3 linked regions of the Mus musculus genome follow. The main gene of each other region encodes a partner of the protein of the gene in region 3 in a complex. Links are inferred from orthologs where the notes say so. Each region holds a gene or a part of one and is shown on either strand. Other genes may lie near its edges.

Region 1 (7,036 bases), on a different chromosome or scaffold from region 3:
TGTGCCACCAAGGGCTCTGTGTACAGCACATCTCTCCAGTTTATGCCTGGGACTAGTGGCCTAAGTCTCAGGAAGAAATGTTGGTGTCACAACAGTAAAGAACCTCTCCCAATGCCCCATGATTAACTGCAGCTTTGTCCTGACCTTCCCCGTAGAACTTTAAAAATGCCATCCAATTCCAGGACTACCCTCTCCCCAGAAAAACGGGTGTTGTGGCACATAACCACTCACTCAGGACGTTCTGGGTATAGAAAAGACCCCATCCCAAACAAAGTACACACAGAAAAACCAGGCTTTGAGACACCATTGTTAGAACAACTCAGCAAAATAAAATTCCGGTTTATTGTTGGACATTGTTTCACACATACATCAAACAGGCCAAAAAAAAATAAACAGCAACTTCATAGACAGAAAGAAAAGGAAAAAAAAAATCTTTTTATCTTTGGCCTTTTTAACCATCTCATACAAACCAACTACTTATAGTACAGCTAGGTACATACACAAAAGTTACTGGAATGCTCGGAATAAGATTGTTTTTTTGTTGTTGTTTTTGCTTTTTTTTACAAGGTTTTTTTTTTCTCCTTTGAGATTATAATGAACATGGTCACACCACAAGTAAAGTCTGAAGTAGGACAGAAAACGCTCTGAAGGCTGGTTTGGTCACCCGTTATCATTAAAAATGGCTGACCCCTAACAATATGTACAAAAATATAAAATGTAAATAAAAAATACAAACAAATTTTCCTTTTAAAGTATTTTTAAGAAAAAAAGTAGGGCCTGGGAAGTTCTGGTTCTTTTTTCCTCCCATGTTGCCAATTCATGTTGTAGTTTTGGAGGGGTGGTGGAGAGCGCATGTCATATCTGTGGGTGGCATTGCCCGCTGTGGGCGGGCGGGGCCTGCTTCTCTACTCGAAGGTGACCACGTTTAAATTCTGAGACGGGAAGTGGAGGGTGAATAGGTCACGGTGCGTAAGGTTATTTTTCCTTTTGCTGTCTAGTCATCCTCCTCGGTCTTCTGCTTCTTGGTGTCCACATCGTCATCCTGTAGAGAACATCAGGCCTGTGACTACACATAAGCTCCCTAGGCCTTGGCCCACAACTCCCAGAGAGCAAAGCTGGGATGGGGTCCACTAAGAACCCTTCACCATTTGCCAGAAACCCCCAAAGCTTTTAGTGCCCCAGGAAAGGAACCTCACACATACCTCATCATCCTCAGCTACCCGCTTGCCCGTAGGAGCCTCAGCTTCCTCATCTTCATCTCCATCCTCCTCCTCACCTGGAGAATCAATCAAGGCCCACATAAACCACTATCCTCCCAGCTGCAGATCAAGAACGGCCCCAATAGGAGGGTGGAGTACACTGCAGTTCAAAGTGGTCCAACTGCCCAGAAACCCAACCTCTCCCTTCTGGCAGTAAAAGCCAAGGAAGGAACCTGAGAAAACAAGACTACTCACCGTCACCTTCTTCCTCCTCCTCCTCTTCCTCCCCACCTTCTTCCTCTTCTTCATCTACCTCATTGTCAGCCTCCTGCTCCCCATTTTCCTCATTTTGCTTTAACAGAAAACACATCTGCCATTAGCCAGCTCTGAAGCAGGCCTGTATATCTAGTGCACCTTGCCCCTCCCCACACCATACAGCTACCACACCACCTCCCAAACAAAAATCAGACAAGTTCCCTTGTCTGGTCCAACATCCTGAACTAAGCTGAAAATTTAAAAAAGTATAAACTGGGAACACAAGCCCCAGCTACTTGGACACTCACAGCGTTCCCATTGGCAGGTGCATCTCTTCCATTCTCTGCCTCCTCCACAACTTCCTTCTTCTCCTTCAAGTCCTTTAGAAGGAAGAGGAAACCCGTTAGTCTTCAGAACAATAGAGGGCCACCCATCAGCCAAAGTGCTGAAAACTAGACAAAGCTGGTCCACAGGACCAATCTGAGTCACTGGCTACTTGGCCACCCTAGGGTAATGTCAGCATGGACCATAGTAGGTACTCAAGGCCTGTAGTCCAAATCCTATGCTTTCCATCTTCTAGATACATTGAAAACAAGGCAGACTCATGTGTCGACTCAACGCACTCCTCTACCATATGGCATCATAGCCACAAACCCGCCAGGCCAGGCAGACAAGCTCGGGAACTGTAGCCCTTACCTGCACGCCCTTTGCCGCCGGTTTCCAGCTAGAGGGAGCTCCACCCCTCAGAAACCCTTCTTGGAAGGCAGTGGCTGTGTGCCTTAAATAAATAAGGTAGAAGGGAGGAGCCAGTCGACGGTCATTCGCTCAGGAATGGATGGGAGAGTCTGGATGGGGATCGGAAAGCGCCTGGGCATGCAGAAACACCCCCTTCAAGTCACACCAGCCATGCTTGGTACTAGGGACCTCCTGGCCTCCACAGCCCAAAGGAAATAAACTAGCACTCTGGGCCCTGCGGCTTCGGGGCCGGACCACTGGGTAACTTTTCCCACTACGACGGCTGAACGGTCGGCTCGGTCGGGGCCCAGGAACATGGTCCAGCTAATTCCGCCGGTGCACCGCTGGGTTACCTGCCGGCAATGGTGGGTTCGCGCCCACCGGAGGCCTGCCTAGGACCCCACTGCACCCGCTTCCGCCCCCTGGCGGCCGAAGCCCGGGGGAGTGAGTGGGGGCGGGGTGGCAGCGGTGCGCAGGCGCATAGCTCACCCAGCGAACTACGCGCGCGAGCCTCTTGCACGCACCGCGCGCAAAGAGCACGTGGCCCGGGGCGCCAAGTGCGCCCTGTGCCCTGGAGACCCGAGGTCCGCTTTCATCCAGGGGAGCGGAGTCACCCACTGGAGAAAGCCCGCTCCGTGCTGCCCCCTGGGGTCCTGCCTGTGAGGGGCAACACGCGGCTTCCGGCTCCGATTTTGGCGCCAAGCTCTCGCGGTAGGTCACCAGGGACTCGGAGCTCCTCGGCTCCGACCCTCGAGACCTTCGGGGGGGGCGCTCCCTAGGAGCGCTGGACCTCGCGGGAATTCACCTGAGACTCCCGCCGAGGGCGGAGGTGGGACCATGCTTGCTACAAAGTGTTACAGCGGTGGCGGGCATCGCTCCAGAGCGCGCTCTGCACGGGGTCGCACCAGCCGAGGGAGATGGCGAGCCACGGGAGTTTAAAGAAACAAGGCGACTGGGACTGAGTCCCCACTGCGGGACAAGCGGGGTGCGAACATCGAGGTGTTTGAAAGCAACGAGTCCGAACCGAACACGGCTGAGGGTGGAGAAGACTCCACCGGGAGGGCGAGCCCCTGCCTCAGGACCCCAGCCAGGACCGCGGTGCTGCGCGGGCTTCTAGACCGCCACGGCACCACCGCAGCTGGGGAGCCGTGGGGGGGCGTCCAGCCGCTCCGCAGCTTCACTTTCTATTTCCTCCCCCTCTCGCGTGGGCTCGCCGCCCGGGCCCAACCCCGTCAGCAATGACTGACCCTGCGACGAGGTCCGCCGCCGCGGGGACAAACACGACCACCCGCGTTCACCCGTGGCTGCGGACCAGACCCTTAGGTGTCGCGGTCAGAATCCCCCCAGCGCAGCACGCCGCCCCATCCGCGTCATCCCGGATAACCGGTGGCCGGCCCGCTATAGGGCGCGAACCCGGGCGCCTAACAAAGAGCGACTCGGCCGCGGGCGCCCTCAGCTCGCCGGCGCCGCACACGCGCCCCCCACACTTCCGACTGCGGACGCGCCGGAGTTTCAAAGTTATTTCCGTGCGCCGCGGCCCCGCGACCCCGGCCCCGAGAGCGCTCAAACCATTCGCAAACAAGTTTCGAGAATCCGCGTCTCGGCCCTCCCCGTTTGCGTCCGAGTTCCGAGGCGACCCCAGGCCATCGGCCAGCTCCCGACGGCGGCACCAATGCCCGCGCCGCTTCGCGCCCCCTCCCCCGCACACAAAGAGTGTTGCCCGGGGCCATCGCGCCGCTGGAGGGTGGCGGGGTCGCCTGGAAAAGCGTTTGCGTGATGCTTTCCTGAAAGCCCGCAACCACGCGCCCCAACGCCGCCCGGGCGACGGCGCGCAGACCCCGAGGGGGCGGGCGGCGTCCAGCCTCACCTTGGTGGTGATCTCGGAGCTGGTATCCACTGCCGCGTCTGACATGGTGGGGCACGCCGGTGGTCCGATGCCGCGAGTGAGGGAATTAAAAGTCGAGTTCGAGGACTCTGGCGAGAGAGCTGCCGGAGTCCGCGCTGGAGGAGGCGGTGGGCGGCGAAGGTGGCTGCAGCGAGCGCGGAGCACGACCCAGGAACAATGCAAAGATGGCTTTTCGGAGCAGCCAGTGGGGGACTCACGCGGCGCCAGAAGCTTTAATATAGATTAGTGGGCGGTGCTCAGCCACCCTAGTCCCGGCGCTATTGGCTGAGCGCAGGGAGCGGGCGTCCTCTCATTGGCTCGATTCCGAACAATGGGCAAGTGAGCTTAAAGCGGCAGTGCCTCGGCTTGGCGCGCGCTGCGCAGTCCCCCGCCGCACTGTCATTCAGAGTGTTGAATTTTGTTGGGTCTCGCCACGCCGGAGGGGGGTCGCGCGCGTGCGCGCTCCCGCAGCTGTTTTGCTAAGGCCTCTGACGCAGAAAGCTAAAGCGCGGCAAAGCTGCCCGCCCAGCCCCGGTCCTCCCCCTCCCTCGCGACTGCTCGGAAGAAGGAGGGGGAGGGAGGGAGGAGGGGGAGCGGGAGCACTGCCCGCCAGGGGGAGGGGGAGGGGAAGGCGAGCGATGGGCGGCGCTTGCCCCGGGCGGTGTCCCGCGTGGTTCCCGCGCCCGGGACCTGCCCGCACCGAAGAGCAAGTTGTCCCAGTTCAAGTGAACATCAGTCCACACAACGGGGTGACTGTGACTCGCACCTTCCGCCCCGTCCTCCTTTCCCTCCGCCTCGATGACACTAGTGATCCCCACCGCCCACCACTGTCCCGCCGTCCAGGGTCAGCTCCGGAGTGGGCCTCGCGCCCTGCACACTTGGGGGGACTCATGCGAAAGTCCCGGTGTCCTCGAGCGAGACAGGCCTGGGGCCTCACGCCACAAGGCGGTGTCGCGCCTCAGGGCTCTCTGGTCAGCGTCTGCTGTAAGAGGTCACTGCCGTCGCGACAGCTCTTAACATCATCCAGAGCCCCGCCCGGCCATCGAGTTTACCCCTCTCCCCTAACATTTTGCAGGCTCCAGTGGGCATATGAACAGTGTGCAACTGGGAGAAACTTGTCTCCCCGGCCATTAGGACTAGTCCTTGAAGGGGTTCCTTCAAACTTGAGCCATTTACGGTACCACGCGGAGCCTGAGAAAAGAAAAACCATAAAGACGCCACACTCAAGATGGCGTTGGACTCGGCAAGCGTGGCGTGACGTGGCGACTCGGCTCACGCGAACAACTTCAAAATACTATATTACTCCATTTTTAGCGCTGTCTCACTTGGCTGTCGAACTAAGGAATTTGCCCTGTGAGAAGAGCGACCAGAATGGCTATAAACGGGTTCGGAGAAACGACTTCGCCACACTCAAGATGGCGGCAGATAGCGTCCGACTGTGTGTCGCCAGGAGGGGGCGCCCGACACGGAAGGCGGGACTTGGGAGAAACCCGCACACACTGGCTGAGAGTGGCGGGCGAACACAAAGTTGACGCTTTGCGCCCTGCCATTGGTCATTCCTGCTGTCTGTCTCCTGGGGGCCGTGGAATCGGGAGTGAGGAAAACCCGGAGTCTTGAATCGGGGAGGGTGAATGGGTGCCAAGTCCCTTAGAGCTTTGAGGTCGAGGCGAGGAGACTGAACTGCCCTTATGGCTCACCCCCGGCGTTTGGGCCCATCCTCACCCGGAGGCCCCTATGCGGAGCTTGAGGAGAGGAGAGGAACGTGCAGTGTCGGGAAACTGTTGCAGTTGGACCCAGGGTCGGCCCGCGAGCCGCACGTGGCCGGCCCGCATCCCCGCGCGCACGTGCCAGTCCCGCCACCAGCCGCTTGGGCCTGTGTGAGCTTTTCCTTTAAGGAGAAAGCCTTGCCGCCGCCCTTTGGCCTGCGCTCACTCCCGTTGTCCAGCGGTTGCTCCTGTCCTGGCAGCCCCTGGCAAGGGAGGGTGTGAAGGCCCCCGGGGTCTCGCTCTTCTCGGAGCACACTAATGGCCGGAGACGGTTATCGCGCCCCAGCGCCCTAGGTTGCACAAACTGCCTGAGTCCGAACTGCCCCACCCCCGCCAGCGGGCTTTACTGTGATGAGGATATGGAGCTTAAACAGGGAAGGGCCTTTGAGCTGCAGCTGCCCAGACCCCTTTTTTGTAGATAGGGAGGGACGGTGCTTCAATATAAACAGAAAGGAGGATGCTTTCTACCTGGTGCTTATCCATTAAGCTCCCGTTATTCTCTAGAGGATTGTTCCATCTACAAAACCCAGATGCACAAAGAGCTTGGCCTATACCACCCACATCTTAGTTGTGGTTTCTGAGTTCTGGATTGGGAGAGCTGAGGGAGGCAAGGTGGCAATCAGTGAGAAGCTGGATAAGTATGAACTTCCCTCGAAGAAGAACTGCTTTATCTAGTCTTGTGCATGCCCGTGCCTCTACCATAAGGGAGGAAGGCCCACGCATCTGGTTGTAGAAGCACTATCTATGTTCAAGCTAAGCTTACGGACCTCCTGCTGTATTCATGACAGTGTTTGGCTCATACAAAGAAAAAAAAATCCATAGGTTCTAGAAAGGAAGTTAGAGTTATCAAATAAGCCATGGTCAGAGCTCCCGCTATCCTAGTATGTTTGAGAAGACCAGGAACAGAAGTCTCCTCTGGGCCTTTTGTCTGGCCACAGGAGTCTTAAGAGCCAGGAACTGCTGTAGTTGCTGGGACTATGAAGAGTCCCTTTCTTTCCTTAACAGGTTGTTCTACCTCTTCAGCTGTTTGTGAGAGGGCTGGTCTTACTGTCTGTACTTCCACTCATCCATGTATCTTAGGCCTTAGGCTGCTCCAGAGGCCGGAAGTGAAGTACTTCCATGGTGTTACCCAAGTCTCTCCAAACAAGCTAGTGAGTCCTAACAGGCCACATCCCTTCCCCTGGGTCGGTTCAAAC
Region 2 (7,350 bases), on a different chromosome or scaffold from region 3:
TCCTTTCTATAATATTAGGTACAAATGTGCCCTCATAATACAGAATGTATTATCCACCTCTTCTGTCCACTATGTGTCTAGAGGAGGTTCTTGTGTTTGATGCATTCAGACATGATTGTGGAAGGCTCTTACTTCCATCTTTTTTCTATGGCCACATTGGTCATACATGACATTGATGTTTGGTGATTGCTCATGCTTAAGAGAACATGTCATTTAGCTGACAATTCCAGACCAGATGCTGTTAGACCACCAAGGGTTACCTGTAAGCACCAGTCTAGTCTCTCACTATTCAGGATTATGGGGTTTATTCATTTTTAACAATCAGCTGCCAAAACTCTTGCTGATAGTTTCATTTCTTGAAAATTTCTTGGCATTACTCTTTAGGGTAATGAGTTCTTACAGTTTTGGTGATTATTTTAGTTATTTCTCTATTGCTTTGATAAGAAGACACCATGACTAAAGTCACTCATAGAATAGTTTATCTGGGCTCACCATTTCAGGACTAGAGTCCTTGTTTGCAAAGTTCAGGGCATGACACCTGAAGCTGGAAGCTAAGAGTTCACATCCCGAACTTGTTGGAAGCAGAGAACACAATCTGAGAATGGCACACAGCTCTGAAACCTCAAAGCCTGCTCCACAGCTCTCCCATCAAGGTTACTGCTCCTAGATCTACCCAAGCAGCAGCACCAGCTGGGGTCCAAGTAGTAAATGTTTGAGTTTACAGGAGACATTTGTCATTAAAACCACAATGACAATAATAGTGATTTACTGTCCCCTCTCCCCACTCCTGTTTTAAAGAGTGACTGTAGCCCAGGCATGCCTTGAATTGGTGACAATGTTCTTGCCTCAGCCACCTGAGGGCTGGTATTAGAGATGTGGAACCCTAGATGGGGAGCTGTGGTGTGGTGAAGAAAGAGTTAAGTGTAAATGTTTAAGTCTGAGGAATTCTGTTTTGTTTTCTCAAGAAGATCTATGTGGGTGAAGGAAGCAAGCAGTCAGAACAGACACACACCTTTCTAACTATCCAACACAAATGTCACTTCTCAGGCAGAATTCAACAAGACCAAGGGCAACTTGTTCACTTCTGACTGGCTAAGGATTATAATAGCTACCGTGAACTTCAGAAACTTAAAAGTCTCAGAGTCTGCCTACCTCATCTTTAGAAACGTTAAGTTGCAGTTCGAGTGCATATGTGCCCCTGATGGGTATGCATGGTGCCAGGCTCTCTATAAAGGACTTGCTAAAATCAGGAAGGCATTCTCGTTTCTAACTCCACAGTCTGATTCAACACACATTTATGAGATCCATTCATATTCTATTTTATTTTTAATTCAAGAGTAGTGGTGCACTGAATATTCCAGCTTCCTCATTCTCCCACTGACAGACATCTGGGCTCCTTGAGAGTTTTGCTCTCATCAGTACATTTGCGTTTCCATACAAGTCTTTTTGCAGACAGGACTTTATTTCTCTTGGTGAACACAAGATGTGGGTCTTTATGTGCCAAAGGGTAGACGAATGCTTGACTTACAAGAAACTGACAGGGCTGTACTTTCTGCACAATTTTAGCTTCATTTGCTCTAGAAAAGAGCCAAGCCGAGATGGCCATAACTTGACGATTCACGAATGGAGCTCTGAGAGCCTGGAAGACCCTTTCCTCGATTACAGGCAGAAGAACCATGGGCATGTGGGGGATATCCGTAGGTGAAGGAGTTCAGACAGCACATTTGAGAGTAACAAATATGTGAATATCTGGACAAATCTTTTTCCCATTGGTTTTTGAAATTCTGATATCCTCAACTCTCTCCCCGGTAGCTTTTGAATATACCCAGGGAGTATATTCTTCAGCAGGGAGGGGTGGGGCTTCTTTTAATGAAGAGTAGAAACTGCCAGAAACAAATCACCTCATTTCTTCGCAGCCTTTGTTTCTTTTCTGCCACTCCCCCCACTGACACTTTTTCTAAAGTCCTCTCCACTGCCTGATCCACTGCTTTGGACTCTTAGCATGGTTTCAAAGTTCCCTCCAAAACTTACCCTGAAATTTGCTACTGTTAACAGTATGCATGCAACATTCCTAAGGGGGTCCTTTAAGAGGTGATGAGGACACTAGAGTTCCGCCCTCCAGGAACAAATTGTTACCACAAGAGTAGGTTCCCGATAAAAAATGATAGACAGTTTCCGGCGCTTTTACCCTGCCACTTAGCTGACACTGCATGTTATTCTACTTTCCAAAGCCTCCAGAGCGAGATAAACTTCTTCATAGTTTACTGTTGTATGTAGCATTGTTATAGCAGCAGAAGAGACTAAGACAACTAACTTTCCCTACCTTCTCCCCTGTGAAAGCTGACCTCTCCCCATCCGAGAACCTGTGTCATCACTGTAACTTAAGACTTCTGAAGTCTGATCAACTTGCATGTTTTAGTTCCCCACCTTAGCCACCAAAGTCTGTCCTAAGGGCACCACACTAATATTCACAGAGTGGACAGACTGGATTTCAAGGTGTCAAACAACAGTAACATTGAGCTTGGAGCCTGGAATGTTGGAGTGTTTTTTCCAGCGTGTATACCTGTTTTCAGCGTGATACATGTTTTCAGCCCGCAATTGTGTGCAAAGGCAGCAGTATGCAACAGGTGCCTAGACACAGGAGTAGAATCAGTGTAGTCACCTAGCTAACGGATCCTTACTGGACTGTCACCCATCACCCAAGGGCTCAGGCCTCTCAGGTGGAACTGGTTCTTCCGTTCTCAATTGGCCTCAGTTTCCGAGTCAGGGCGATGGTGGGGTGGGAAGTGAAGGGGAAGAGCCAAGCTGAGCCTGGCCAATGGCAGCTCTTGAACTTACACCTCCAGACGTCAGCGCGGCCGTGGAAACGGATGTCACCCAGCTGGCTCGGAAGCGTCTCCATCCGCTTCGGGAGAGGGGCGTGAGCCCGGAGGCGTCCAGGCCACCTCCGTGTGCAGCCGGAGGGAGTGCGCGGCCCCGTCAGCGCGCAGCCCCGAGGTCCCCGCTTCTCCCCCGGCGGCGCTCCCGCCCCTGGGTGAGACCCGCGCGCCCCCGCGGGCGGCTCCGCCCCCTCCCGGAGCGGGCGGCGCGCTCCCGCGGCGACGGGCCGTGTCGCGGGCTCGCGCGCCGCCGGCCCAGCCGCAGTTAAAATGGTCCGAGTCGGGCCCGCGCTGCCCCCGCCGCGGCGCTGACTGACTGAACCGGCTGGCCTGGCCGGCAGACTCGCTTCCCTCCCTCGCGTCCCCACAGCTCGCGCCCGTCCTCCTCCCGGCTCCCCGGGGGGCAAAGCATGTAGCCCGCGTCGGGCACCCGGGCGGCCCGCAGCTGACGCCCACCCCCGCCGTCGCGTGTGCCGGGTGCGCGGCGCGGGCGACCCAGCCAGCGGCCTGCCCCGCCGCCGGAGCCCGCCCCTCGGGCCTCCCTCTCCCGCCCCGTCCCGGTCGCCCTCCTCGGGGCCTTCTATATGGGCCACCTTCTCTCGAAGGAGCCGCGTAACCGCCCGAGCCAGAAGAGGCCTCGCTGCTGCAGCTGGTGTCGCCGCCGGCGCCCTCTCCTCAGACTGCCCCGCCGGGCTCTGGCCAAGGCGTCCCCGCAGCCCGCGGCGCCCCGGAGCCGGGACTGCTTCTTCCGCGGGCCCTGCATGCTCTGCTTCATCGTGCACAGCCCCGGCGCGCCCGCCTCCGCCGGCCTAGAGGAGGAGCCGCCGCTCTCGCCACCGCCGCCGCCGCCGCGGGACGGGGCCTACGCCGCCGTCTCCTCGCAGCACTTGGCGCGGCGCTACGCGGCCCTGGCCGCCGAGGACTGCGCCGCCGCCGCACGCCGCTTCCTGCTGTCCTCGGCCGCCGCCGCCGCCGCCGCTGCCTCGTCGCCCGCGTCCTGCTGCAAGGAGCTGGGGCTGGCCGCCGCCGCCGCCTGGGAGCAGCAGGGCCGGAGCCTCTTCCTGGCCGGCGTGGGGCCCGTGCGCTTCCTGGGACCGCTGGCCGCCGTGCAGCTCTTCCGGGCACCGCCGGCGCCGCCGCCGCAGGCCGAGCCCGCCACGGCCCTCGAGATGGTTTGCAAGCGGAAAGGGGCCGGGGTCCCCGCCTGCACCCCCTGCAAGCAGCCCCGTTGCGGCTGCGGGGGCTGCGGCGGGGGCGGCGGCGGCGGGGGAGGGCCCGCGGGAGGAGGTGCCTCGCCGCCGCGGCCGCCCGATGCCGGCTGCTGCCAGGCCCCGGAGCAGCCCCCGCCGCCGCTCTGCCCCGCGCCCGCCTCTCCCGCCTCAGAGTGTGCCCCCATCGTGGCCGCCGCCGGGGACACAGTCCGAGCCGGGGGCACCGCCCCCTCGTCTGCCCAGCAGCAGCCCGAGAGCGGCGACGCGGACTGTCAGGAGCCCCCCGAAAACCCCTGCGACTGTCACAGGGAGCCGCCCCCCGAGATCCCAGACATCAACCAACTGCCGCCGTCCATCCTGCTTAAGGTGGGTCTGGGCGAGGAGGCGCAGGGATGCTCACTCCCCCCCCCCCGCCCCCCTAACCCGGCTCCCCCGCCTCCGAGGCTTTCTCTCTCCTCCCCCTGTGTGCAGAGGAGGGGGGGGGGTTCCCTGACAGCCGGGGGACGCCGGAAGGGGAGACTGGGAAGCCAGTGGGGCCTGAGCTTTCAGCCTGGTGTTGAAGTAGGAAAACTTGGAGGCTGCTGAATGCCTCGAAGTAGCTTAGGTCCTACAACTCGGGGTTCATGCATTGCATTGGCAAACCCCCCAATATAGATACTATACTAGATTCTGTGGAATATACACGCATTTCTTGAGCAAGTTGTATACAGTGGGCAACCACTTTGCATACTGGTGTTTGGAAAGTTTAAAAGTTTGATGGATGCTAGTCTAGTGGCAATAACTTATAGTAAGCATTTACCACGACCAGACACTGACCGAGTGAATGGCAGGCCTTGGTCAGTGTGTTCCTCTGTAGACATCTTTTGAGTGTACTGTCCCGAGGACTTGAATCCTCTCTCAGGGAGTTGAGGAAAGGTCTTCCTGAATGGGGGAAGTTGTTTGCTTGCTCCGGAAAACTTGCAAACCATTGGTTCAGAAGCTGATTTACAACTGGTGTGTGGTCTTTATAAGAAATCTGAGAAGCAGAGAGTGGCTCTTCAAAGGTCAGCTCTGGGAATAGCAGTTTTCCCAAGTACTTAATAAACCTGTTAGGTCTCTGGTTACTGCATTGTTCTGAATCAAATAAACTAGCCTCAGATTTTGCTACTTGTTGCTTTTACAACTTGAAGCAGTGTTACATACTGAAACTGCCGCTAGATTTTTATATGATCAGCCATTGGGTAACAGTTTCCTTACTTATTTTCCCTTTGCAATAATGGTCACCTTGAGCTAAACATTCAATAGGAGCATAATGTTTAGATTGTTACCTTGCTCTCAGTGAGTAAGCCTGTTTCCTTCCAAAATGTAGTAAAGGGGAGAACTTGTCTGACATCACCATTAGAAAGCCTTCTCTACAAGTCTTTTCCACTCTGATATGTCAGTAGATAGGAAGTCTTCATTTTGGTAGGTTTGTTTCAGTTGGGCTGGGTTAATGGTCAAGGTAGTTTCCGGAGGGAAGTTTGCTTGGTAGAAAGCCTGGAAAGTTTTAGGAAGGTAGGTTTACCTCATTTCCTTTCTAAGTGGGCTATGTGGTCTTAAGCTAATTACAATACCGAAAAGTGCTGTGTGTTTACTTAAGAATTATGTCAGTTGTTTTGTAGTGAAAGCTGTCAGAGTAGGGTTGTTACCTTGAGTCTTGGCGCTTCAGGTTGTATAAGATGCTGGAGAGAAGGGGTATTTAAGAACTACTTCAGATTAGCATAGTCAGTTCCAAAGTTGGCCAACCTTCTGGGGTATCCTCCCTCTTATCTACCACCTACATATTCAATTCCTTTTCGAAGTGAGTAAGCAAAACTAACCTAGATCCATGTGGATGGTGTCAGTGATGTGTGGGTCAGAAGTGCCATTTACCTTGACCGGAGAGAAAACTGGAGAAGTACTGGTCCAGACTTGTTTCAGCTCGGCACCTTGGACATGCAGAGAACAAATGAGTCCTTTAAAACTGTGCAGTCACTGAGATAGCTCAGCCTGGAAAGGCGCTTACCAGTGAGCTGATGACCTGAGTTCAGTTATAGGAACCAACATGATGAAAGGAGATAAAGCACTCCTGCAGGCTGTCCTGCCTCCACAGGTGACACACACACACACACACTCTCACTCTTCCGCATGTACACACACAGTCTTGTGTATATTTTTATACATTTGTGCACACACAGTGAGCATGTGCATACATACACTTTTCTATGTACACAAACAATGGAATGTAAAAACATTTTAAACTTTTAAAAAAAGTCACACAGATGACTTAGTTTCCTCAAATCTTTATTTTCTCATCTATAAAATCAGGAGAATGAGCATAAAAATATCGGAGAGGGGCCATGGTTGCATGACAAATGAGTCTTTTCCAAGGAAAACCAAACCTGTCCAACCATTTGAGCTCTAGAATTAAATAAAAGACAAATACTCAGGAGGATTTATCTTAGGAAACTGTTTAAAAAGTCAGTAGTGGAATTTTGCAGCTTCTTGGTAGGTGCTCCTGGCATGACCTACACAAGGTCTAGCTCAGTGTAGGACAATAAGTTAAAGCCAGTTGCTAACCAATAGCAGAGGACTTGGTAGGAAAAACTAAAAGGAAAACTCACATAAAGATGGCCTGAAGGTTAGTGCCACTTGGAGGAGTGGGGAAGGAGCTGGAAGTGGAGCAAGTAGCCAGAGGAAACGGGGGGTGGGGGGAAACAAGCAGGGATAATCTTTTCACACATCTTGGTTTATTACAACCGCATGTGTGGATGAGGGCCGGCAGGAAGGAATGGCCAAGGTGGATCGACAAATTGGCTAAGATAATTATCCCAGTAATTGTAGCACTTGGAGGCAGATGCTGGAGGATCACAGATTGGAGGCCAACGTGATCCAGACCCCATTTCATAAACAAAACAAAAGACAACACTGGCTGGGCCTTAGACATCCCTTGTCTGACCCGTACTCAGACTGACGAGCAGGCTAGACAGTTCAGAACCAACTTTCCAAGACACTGAAACAGCTATGCAGACACAGCAGTTTCCCAGGGAGCCAAGCTAAAGGACAAGAGGATACTAGTGGAACAGACACTTGCACCATAGCGAACAGATTCCAGAAGGAACAGGCCAGTTAAAAATAAAGAGACCCAGAAAGGCCCAAGTCTGTAGTTGTACTGTGTTACCTGAAATACCTAAACATTTTTGAGCTATGAGGAAAAAGAAAGCCGGGAGAAACTGACACCAAGAGGCTTCAAAGAATTCAAA
Region 3 (6,550 bases):
CCTCAGCGACATAAGGACTTCGAGGGCAGCCTCAGTCATGTAACAGAGGGAGGAGGGTAAAGCAAACGCTTCCTCGCTTCCTCGCTGGGCTGGGCTGTCCTCACTCCACCCCCCACTCACCGGCCCCGCTCCGGATGGTATTCATCGGTGTGATCATCCGCCACTCATTCCTCTCTGGATAGTAACATTCTGCGGAGTTAAGCCGGTTAGTCCCGTCAAAGCCCCCCACTGCATACAGCAAGCGGTTGAGCACTGCCACGCCCACGCCAATCCTCCGTGTCAACATTGGCGCGACTAGATGCCACTCGTCCCGCTCTGGCTCATATCTGCAAAAGACATAATACCCCGTGGTCACCCGTGGTCAACCCTTACACCACGGCCCTCCATCTGCTTGCACATTTATTTTTAGGTTTTTGTTTGGTTGGTTTTTTGTTTGTTTTGAGATAGAACCCTGCTATGTAGTTCAAGCTAGCCTTGAACTCTCCGCGATCTCCTGCTTTAGTCTCCCCAGTGCGGAGAGATGAAGGATGTGCAGCACCAGGCCTGGCTCCAGAAGTGAGGGGTCATCAGAATCCAGGTTCACTGTCATCAATTATGACTGACAGCAACAGCAATTCCCTCTAGCCTAGACGGCTTTACCCCTTAGGGCTGCAGCACCTGTGCACTTCACCCCTAGCAGGATTCATTGCCTCACACCACAAGATTTGCTACAGACATGTGGGGTAGGACATCCAGGGTCACTAAGTGACATCTGGGCAGGTGTTCAACTCCAAATGTCTAACTGGGTCTCCCAGGTGGTTCTCTGAGCAACATGATCAGAGATGGGTGAACACGCCCCATTAGCCCAGCAGCGTCCAGTCCATCCCTGCATCCTACAGTCCTTGAAGGGGCCACCCTATTCACAGACCACACACATTAGAGCCCCTAGCACATTTGTTTACATTTCCATTTTCAGGCATGGGCGGGGTTAGCTTGGGGTAGACAGCTGACCTAGCAAGCATAGATTTCTAGGTTCTATTCCCAGCACTACAAATACAAAATTAAAATTTTTTCTCATTTTCTTACCCTTGCTCCAAGCCCTAAATTTGTGTGTGTGTGTGTGGGGGGGTTGTTTGTCTGTCTTGAGACAGGGTCTCTTATATCCCAGGCTGGCCTTGAACTTGCCATACAGCCAAAGATAAATATTGAATTCCTGATTCTCCTCCCTCTACCCCCAGAGCGCTGGGATGACAGCTGGGTTTATGAGGGCTTCCTGAACGCGGGGCAAGTGCTCTGCCAACTGAGTCACACCCCCAGCCCTTTTTCTTCTTTTCCCTCCTTCCTTTTGGCAGGGCTGGGGATGAGACCTTAAACCCTGGATTCAAGAAAGAGACCAGAGGACTGGAGAGATGGCTCAGTGGTTAAGAGTACCAACGGAAGGTCCTGAGTTCAAATCCCAGCAAACACATGGTGGCTCACAACCACCCATAATGAGATCTGCCGCCCTCTTCTGGTGTGTCTGAAGACTGCTACAGTGTACTTATACACATAAATAAAATCTTTTTAAAAAGAAAGATACCAGAGCACTACCACTGAACTACATCCCCGTTCAGATGATACCTTTTAAAGTAATTATAAATTGCACAATATAATTCACGTATTAGAGTAATTCCTACTACCCCCAGTGTGCAGCGGTGGTTCCTGTAGGTTTGGGACAGCCCCCTCCAGTACTTCCCAACTCTGGACACTGAGAATGAACATCCCAGCCGCTCAACCTCATATGAAGGCAGGGACAAGAACAGGTACCGTCTCTTTGGGCCCCCGGTGCTCACCTCTCCACGCTGCTGTGGTGGATGCAGCCGTGGGAACCCCCGACTGCGTAGATGTGGCCATCTATGACCCCCACCCCGATGCGGTTGCGTGGCACGCTCATAGAGGCACAGGGCGACCACTGGTTGGTCATGGGGTTGTAGCAGTCCAGGGCGCTGGAGTCAGTGTTGCCATCCGGAGAGTTGTTGCGGCCGCCCACAGCGTATAGCAGCCCACCCACCACGCAGCCTGCCAGCCCACTGCGCGGCACCTGTAGATCGGCCAGGCGCAGCCAGGAGCCATTGCTCGGGTTGTAGGCCTCCAGGTAGCTGAGCGACTGTCGGAAGTAACCGCCCGCTGTGTAGATGAGGCGGCCCACTTTGGGCGCGCGGCAGGGCACTGCCTGCGTGGGCTTGTGCAGCGTGAGCTCCTGGAATATCTGCACCAGGTAGTCCTTGCAGCGCGCGTCGGCCTGCAGGATCTCACACTTCTGCAGCTGCGTCTGCAGGAAGCGCGGCGTGAGCGCATGGCAGCGCACGGCCCGCAGCAGTGCCTGCACGTAGAAGCGCCGCTGCGGGCAGTCGTATTTGACCCAGTCGATGCACGCGTGGAACACCTCGGACTCGCAGCGTACGTTCAGATCATCCCGGCTGATGAGCGTGGCCAGCTGGCAGTGTGACAGGTTGAAGAACTCCTCCTGCTTGGCCACCTGCAGGGAGCTCAGGTGAGAAGGGAAGCCCTCCATCCAGGCCGAGCACCCATACACCGGGGGTCACACAGGCCACACACTGTGGACTCTTTAGGCTCCTGTATTGATTTTAGTTTTAATTTTTTTAAAAAAATATATATATAGCTAGGTGTAGTGGCACACTCCTATAATCCCCCATATCAGGGGAGGCAGAGGCAAGAGGATGTCTGAATTCAAGGCCAGATTGGTCCCCATAAGCCAGTTCCAGACCAGCTAGGACAACATAGTAAGATCTTATATCAAAATAAACAATTGAACCTAGTCTGGCCTTTAATCCCAGCATTGGACTAATATTCACTTGGAAGGGAGAGGAAGATGTCTGTGAGTTCCAGGCCACCTGTTCTACATAGTTTTTAATTACATTTACTTATTGGCTTATTGTGTATGTGTGTGAATGTACTCATGTCTGATGGGGGGGGGGTCTCACCTTCCTGGGACTGGTCTTCTGGCTTGGCAGTGAGTGCCTTTACTAGCTCAGAAAGGCACTGGGTTCTTAATTTGTTTATTTGTTTGTTTGTTTATTTAACCCCAGGACTCATATGCTGGAAGAATCAACTCCTGCAAGTTGTCTTCTGACCTCCACATGAACTGTGGCACACACATTGCCCCCTAAATCAATACAATACAATACAATTTTTAGATTAATAAAAATAAAACATAAAATGACTGGCAGTTTACAGCTTGGCACTTGTTTTTTTTCAGATGTAGGAATATTTTACACAAATGATGAGACACCTAAGGAATAAGAGTATGGTATAAACAACTTCACTCGAGCCATCAAGGCCCATGTCAAGTCTCAGCACTTGGGAACCTGACATGTGAGAATCTTGAGTTTCAGACAAAAGCCAAGGGCCATGACAACCTGCTATCTCAAAAATCTAAATAAATAAACAAACTACTTTTATGCTGGTCCATATTGACCTTACACAGCTTCAAGGCTCTCTCTCTGTGTGTGTGTATGTGTGTGTGTGTGTGTTTGTCTGTGTGTAACTGGCCTGGAACTTTATGTAGAGCAGGCTGGCCTCACAGATCTGCCTGCCTTTGCCTACCCAGTGCTGGGATTAAAGGTGTGCACAGCCACACTTGGTTTATGTGAGGTGGGCATGGAACCCAGGGCTTCACGCATGCTGGGAAAGTGTCCTAGCAATCCAGCAGCACATGGGCCCTCTGAAGATGGTATGCCCTATGCACAGTGTGCCTGTGCGGTCACTGCCACCCATCTGGTGAGGTCAGGTGTGGACGGCACATGGTGTTCAAAAGCCTTGGGTGCACTTCAGAGTTGGTGATATTCAGAATGCAGTCGTGTCCAGGGGACTTTTCTAGTCACTGCCACCCAAGAGCAAGGCTTTCCCCAGCACTGTCCCATTACTTTCTCTTGCAGACTTCCTGCACTGAGAAACGAAAATGAAAGCAATACCAAGTGAACCCAGGGAAAGCCAAGCAAAGCTGGAGCCTGCATGGGTGAGGCTGGCGGGTGCTGGTGCCTGCCTGCTCATCACACTTTGCCCTGCTCTGGAGGAGATCAAGACAGGGTTTCTCTCTGTAGCCCTGGCTATCTTGGAATTCCCTTGGTAGATCAGGCTAGCCATGAACTCAGAGATCTGCCTGCCTCTGCCTCTGCCTCCTGAGTGCCGCCACCACCACCACACACACACACACACACACCACTTTTTTTAGACAGAGTCTCGCTGTGTAGCTCAGGCTGGCCATCACAACTTTTAACCCCAGGGAGATCAGGCTGCTGAGGCACTGGGAGGGCACATCTTTACCTATTCCTAAGGGCTCTCTGTATTTGGATTAGGGGCTCAGAATCTGAGTTTTTGGGCCAGCAATGTGGCTTTGTGGGTAAAGGCACTTTTCTGCCAGGCCTACCTGAGTTTAACCTAGAAACGTATATAAGGTAGCGAGAGCCACCTCCTGCAATTTGTCCTCCGACTTGCACACAAGATCAGTACATGTATACACACACAAATAAATATAATCTTTTTTTTTTTTTTAACTTCTTCAGAGTTTGGTGTTACTCAGCACTCAGAAAGTGACAGCAAAGACAGGACTTAAAACAAAACAAAACAAAAAGCAACTTCAATAGCCAGGTGTGGTGGCACATGCGGCCTTTACTCCCAAAGGCAGGAAGATCTCTGTTAGTTCAAGGCCAGGCTGGTCTACACATTGAGGTCCATGACAGACAGGACTGTTACCCTGTCCTGAAAAACAAAAATAAATAAAACAAAAAAGCTTCAGCTAAAGAAGACTGTCAAGCCAGGTGTGGTGGCGCACGCCTTTCATCCCAGCACTTGGGAGGCAGAGGCAGGCTAATTTCTGAGTTCGAGGCCAGCCTGGTCTACGGAGTGAGTTCCAGGACAGCCAGGGCTACACAGAGAAATCCTGCCTTGAAAAACCAAAACCAAAATAATAATAATAATAATAATAAGAAGAAGAAGAAGAAGAAGAAGAAGAAGAATACTGTCAAAAAATAAGACCACAGGTGCTCACAGTTGAGGGTACTACTGGCCTCTTCCAGAAGACTCGAGTTCAAATCCCAGCACCCACATGGCAGCTCACAACTGTCTGTAACTCCAAGGTCTGACACCTCACACACAGACAAACATTCAGACAAAACGCCAATCCACAGAAACTAAAGGCAAATAATTTTTTAAAAAAGATTTAAAAACAAAAGTAAAATCAAGTTCCGGGGCACTGCTGGCCTCCATTCTATTAAGTATTGGGAGGGCGAACGTCTGTAACTACAGTACTCGACAGACTGAGACAGGAATCAGGAATTTAAAGTCATCCTCAGATACCCAACCAGATTAGGGCCAGCCTGGACTACATGAGACCCTATGGGAGAAAAGAAGGAAGGAAAAAGAAAACACCCAACAGTTTTCCTCCAGCCTGTCGCAGGGGAGAACGCCACGCTGGCCTATCCCACTTCTGAGCCCAAAGCCCGGCTTCACTCACCTCCCCGAAGTGCATGTAGATATACTCCCGGGCACGCTGGTGCAGTTCAGTGCAGCCGATCTGCTCCGCGAAGTTGGCGATGCCAATGGCGTTGCTGGGGTCCAGCTGCTGCACGAGGAAGTCGCTGCAGGCTCGAACCACGCTGTCAATCTGGTACATGACCGCCCCGTTCATCACGTGCAGGACACACTTCTCGCCCACGGAGATGGAGGCCGTGTAGGCGAACTCAATAAGCCTTTCCATGACCTTAGGGTGGATGCCTTCGATGGACACCACCTCCATGCCCTGCTCCCGAAGCCCGTTGGTGAACATGGCTTTAAAGACTGGGCTGGAGGAGGCCAGCACCACTTTGTGAGCCATGAATTGGGCAGCTGGGATGTCCTCATATTTGACCTGCAGGGTCACGTCACAGAGTTGCTGGCTCAGGCGAAGCTCGTTCATGACGCCAAAAGCCTGCTTGGTGTGATCCTCTAGTGTGTAGCTGAAGGTTCGGTTACCGTCCTGCGAGGGCGTCACCTCTGCCTTGCACTCCGTGGAGGCATACATCACTGCGTCCCCGGCCCCCTCGGGGCACTTTGACCACAGGGGCAGGAACTGGCTGCTGCGGGGAGCCCCGCTAAGCTTGGGTTCGGGCTGCATGGGGTTCCTGATGACAAGACACAGTTCCTCTGCTAGCCGTTAGGGGCCTGGAGGGAGGGAAGAGCACAGCGCTGGGAACAGAGGCTGGGTTAGACCAGACCCTGCCACTTTATTTTATTTTATTTGAGACAGGGTCTTACATAGCCTAGGCTGGCTTCCAACTCACTATGCAACCAAAGCTGGCTCCTCCCGAGTGCTGGGATTACAGTATGTGCCACCATGTCCAGCCAGGCTTCTTTTTTTGCAAGACTAAGCAATGATATCTAAGTGCAGATTTTGCCAAGCCAAGTAAACTGGACACAGCCGGCTCCATTCAAACTAACTTCTCAACTCGCGGGCCTTCAGGGCATATCATGTTCCTTTTCCTGCTCAGAATCACCCAACACCTTTCACCGAGCCCAAGAATGGAAACCCCAA

What was found.
Region 1: the proteins of Keap1 (region 3) and Ptma are in contact, whole or in part, in a crystal structure (PDB 2Z32), measured with the Mus musculus proteins. Residues at the interface, in NP_001103775.1 of Mus musculus: Tyr334, Ser363, Arg380, Asn382, Arg415, Phe478, Arg483, Ser508, Gly509, Tyr525, Gln530, Ser555, Ala556, Tyr572, Gly574, Phe577, Ser602; in NP_032998.1 of Mus musculus: Gln40, Asn41, Glu42, Glu43, Asn44, Gly45, Glu46, Gln47.
Region 2: the proteins of Keap1 (region 3) and Fbxl17 are in contact, whole or in part, in a crystal structure (PDB 6W66), measured with the Homo sapiens proteins. The link is inferred for Mus musculus from reciprocal best matches to the Homo sapiens genes KEAP1 and FBXL17. Residues at the interface, in NP_036421.2 of Homo sapiens: His59, Thr60, Ala63, Ile66, Met67, Glu69, Leu70, Gln75, Leu76, Gln82, Lys84, Ala90, His96, Val98, Ala101, Ser102, Ser103, Ser104, Pro105, Val106, Lys108, Ala109, Met110, Thr112, Asn113, Gly114, Val122, Ser124, Glu126, Gln163; in NP_001156787.2 of Homo sapiens: Asp395, Arg397, Arg421, Lys423, Asn447, Gln473, Tyr475, Met524, Arg548, Asn572, Cys574, Leu575, Trp577, Glu596, Tyr598, Val600, Ser601, Asp623, Trp626, Lys628, Tyr647, Met651, Arg652, Val676, Leu677, Asp679, Cys680, Thr683, Leu684, Arg686.

The regions. Positions count from the first base shown.
Region 1 is NC_000067.6:86,523,971-86,531,006, reverse strand, and holds Ptma (prothymosin alpha), read right to left. Parts: upstream 4,451-7,036; 5' UTR 4,102-4,450; coding exon 4,057-4,101; intron 1,835-4,056; coding exon 1,763-1,834; intron 1,552-1,762; coding exon 1,455-1,551; coding exon of another isoform or gene 1,451-1,454; intron 1,277-1,450; coding exon 1,203-1,276; intron 1,043-1,202; coding exon 995-1,042; 3' UTR 295-994; downstream 1-294.
Region 2 is NC_000083.6:63,496,131-63,503,480, reverse strand, and holds the start of Fbxl17 (F-box/LRR-repeat protein 17), read left to right. Parts: upstream 1-2,900; 5' UTR 2,901-3,463; coding exon 3,464-4,456; intron 4,457-7,350. UniProt on the Homo sapiens protein: Substrate-recognition component of the SCF(FBXL17) E3 ubiquitin ligase complex, a key component of a quality control pathway required to ensure functional dimerization of BTB domain-containing proteins (dimerization quality control, DQC).
Region 3 is NC_000075.6:21,231,577-21,238,126, forward strand, and holds part of Keap1 (kelch-like ECH-associated protein 1), read right to left. Parts: 5' UTR 6,134-6,550; coding exon 5,495-6,133; intron 2,498-5,494; coding exon 1,812-2,497; intron 327-1,811; coding exon 121-326; intron 1-120. UniProt on the Homo sapiens protein: Substrate-specific adapter of a BCR (BTB-CUL3-RBX1) E3 ubiquitin ligase complex that regulates the response to oxidative stress by targeting NFE2L2/NRF2 for ubiquitination.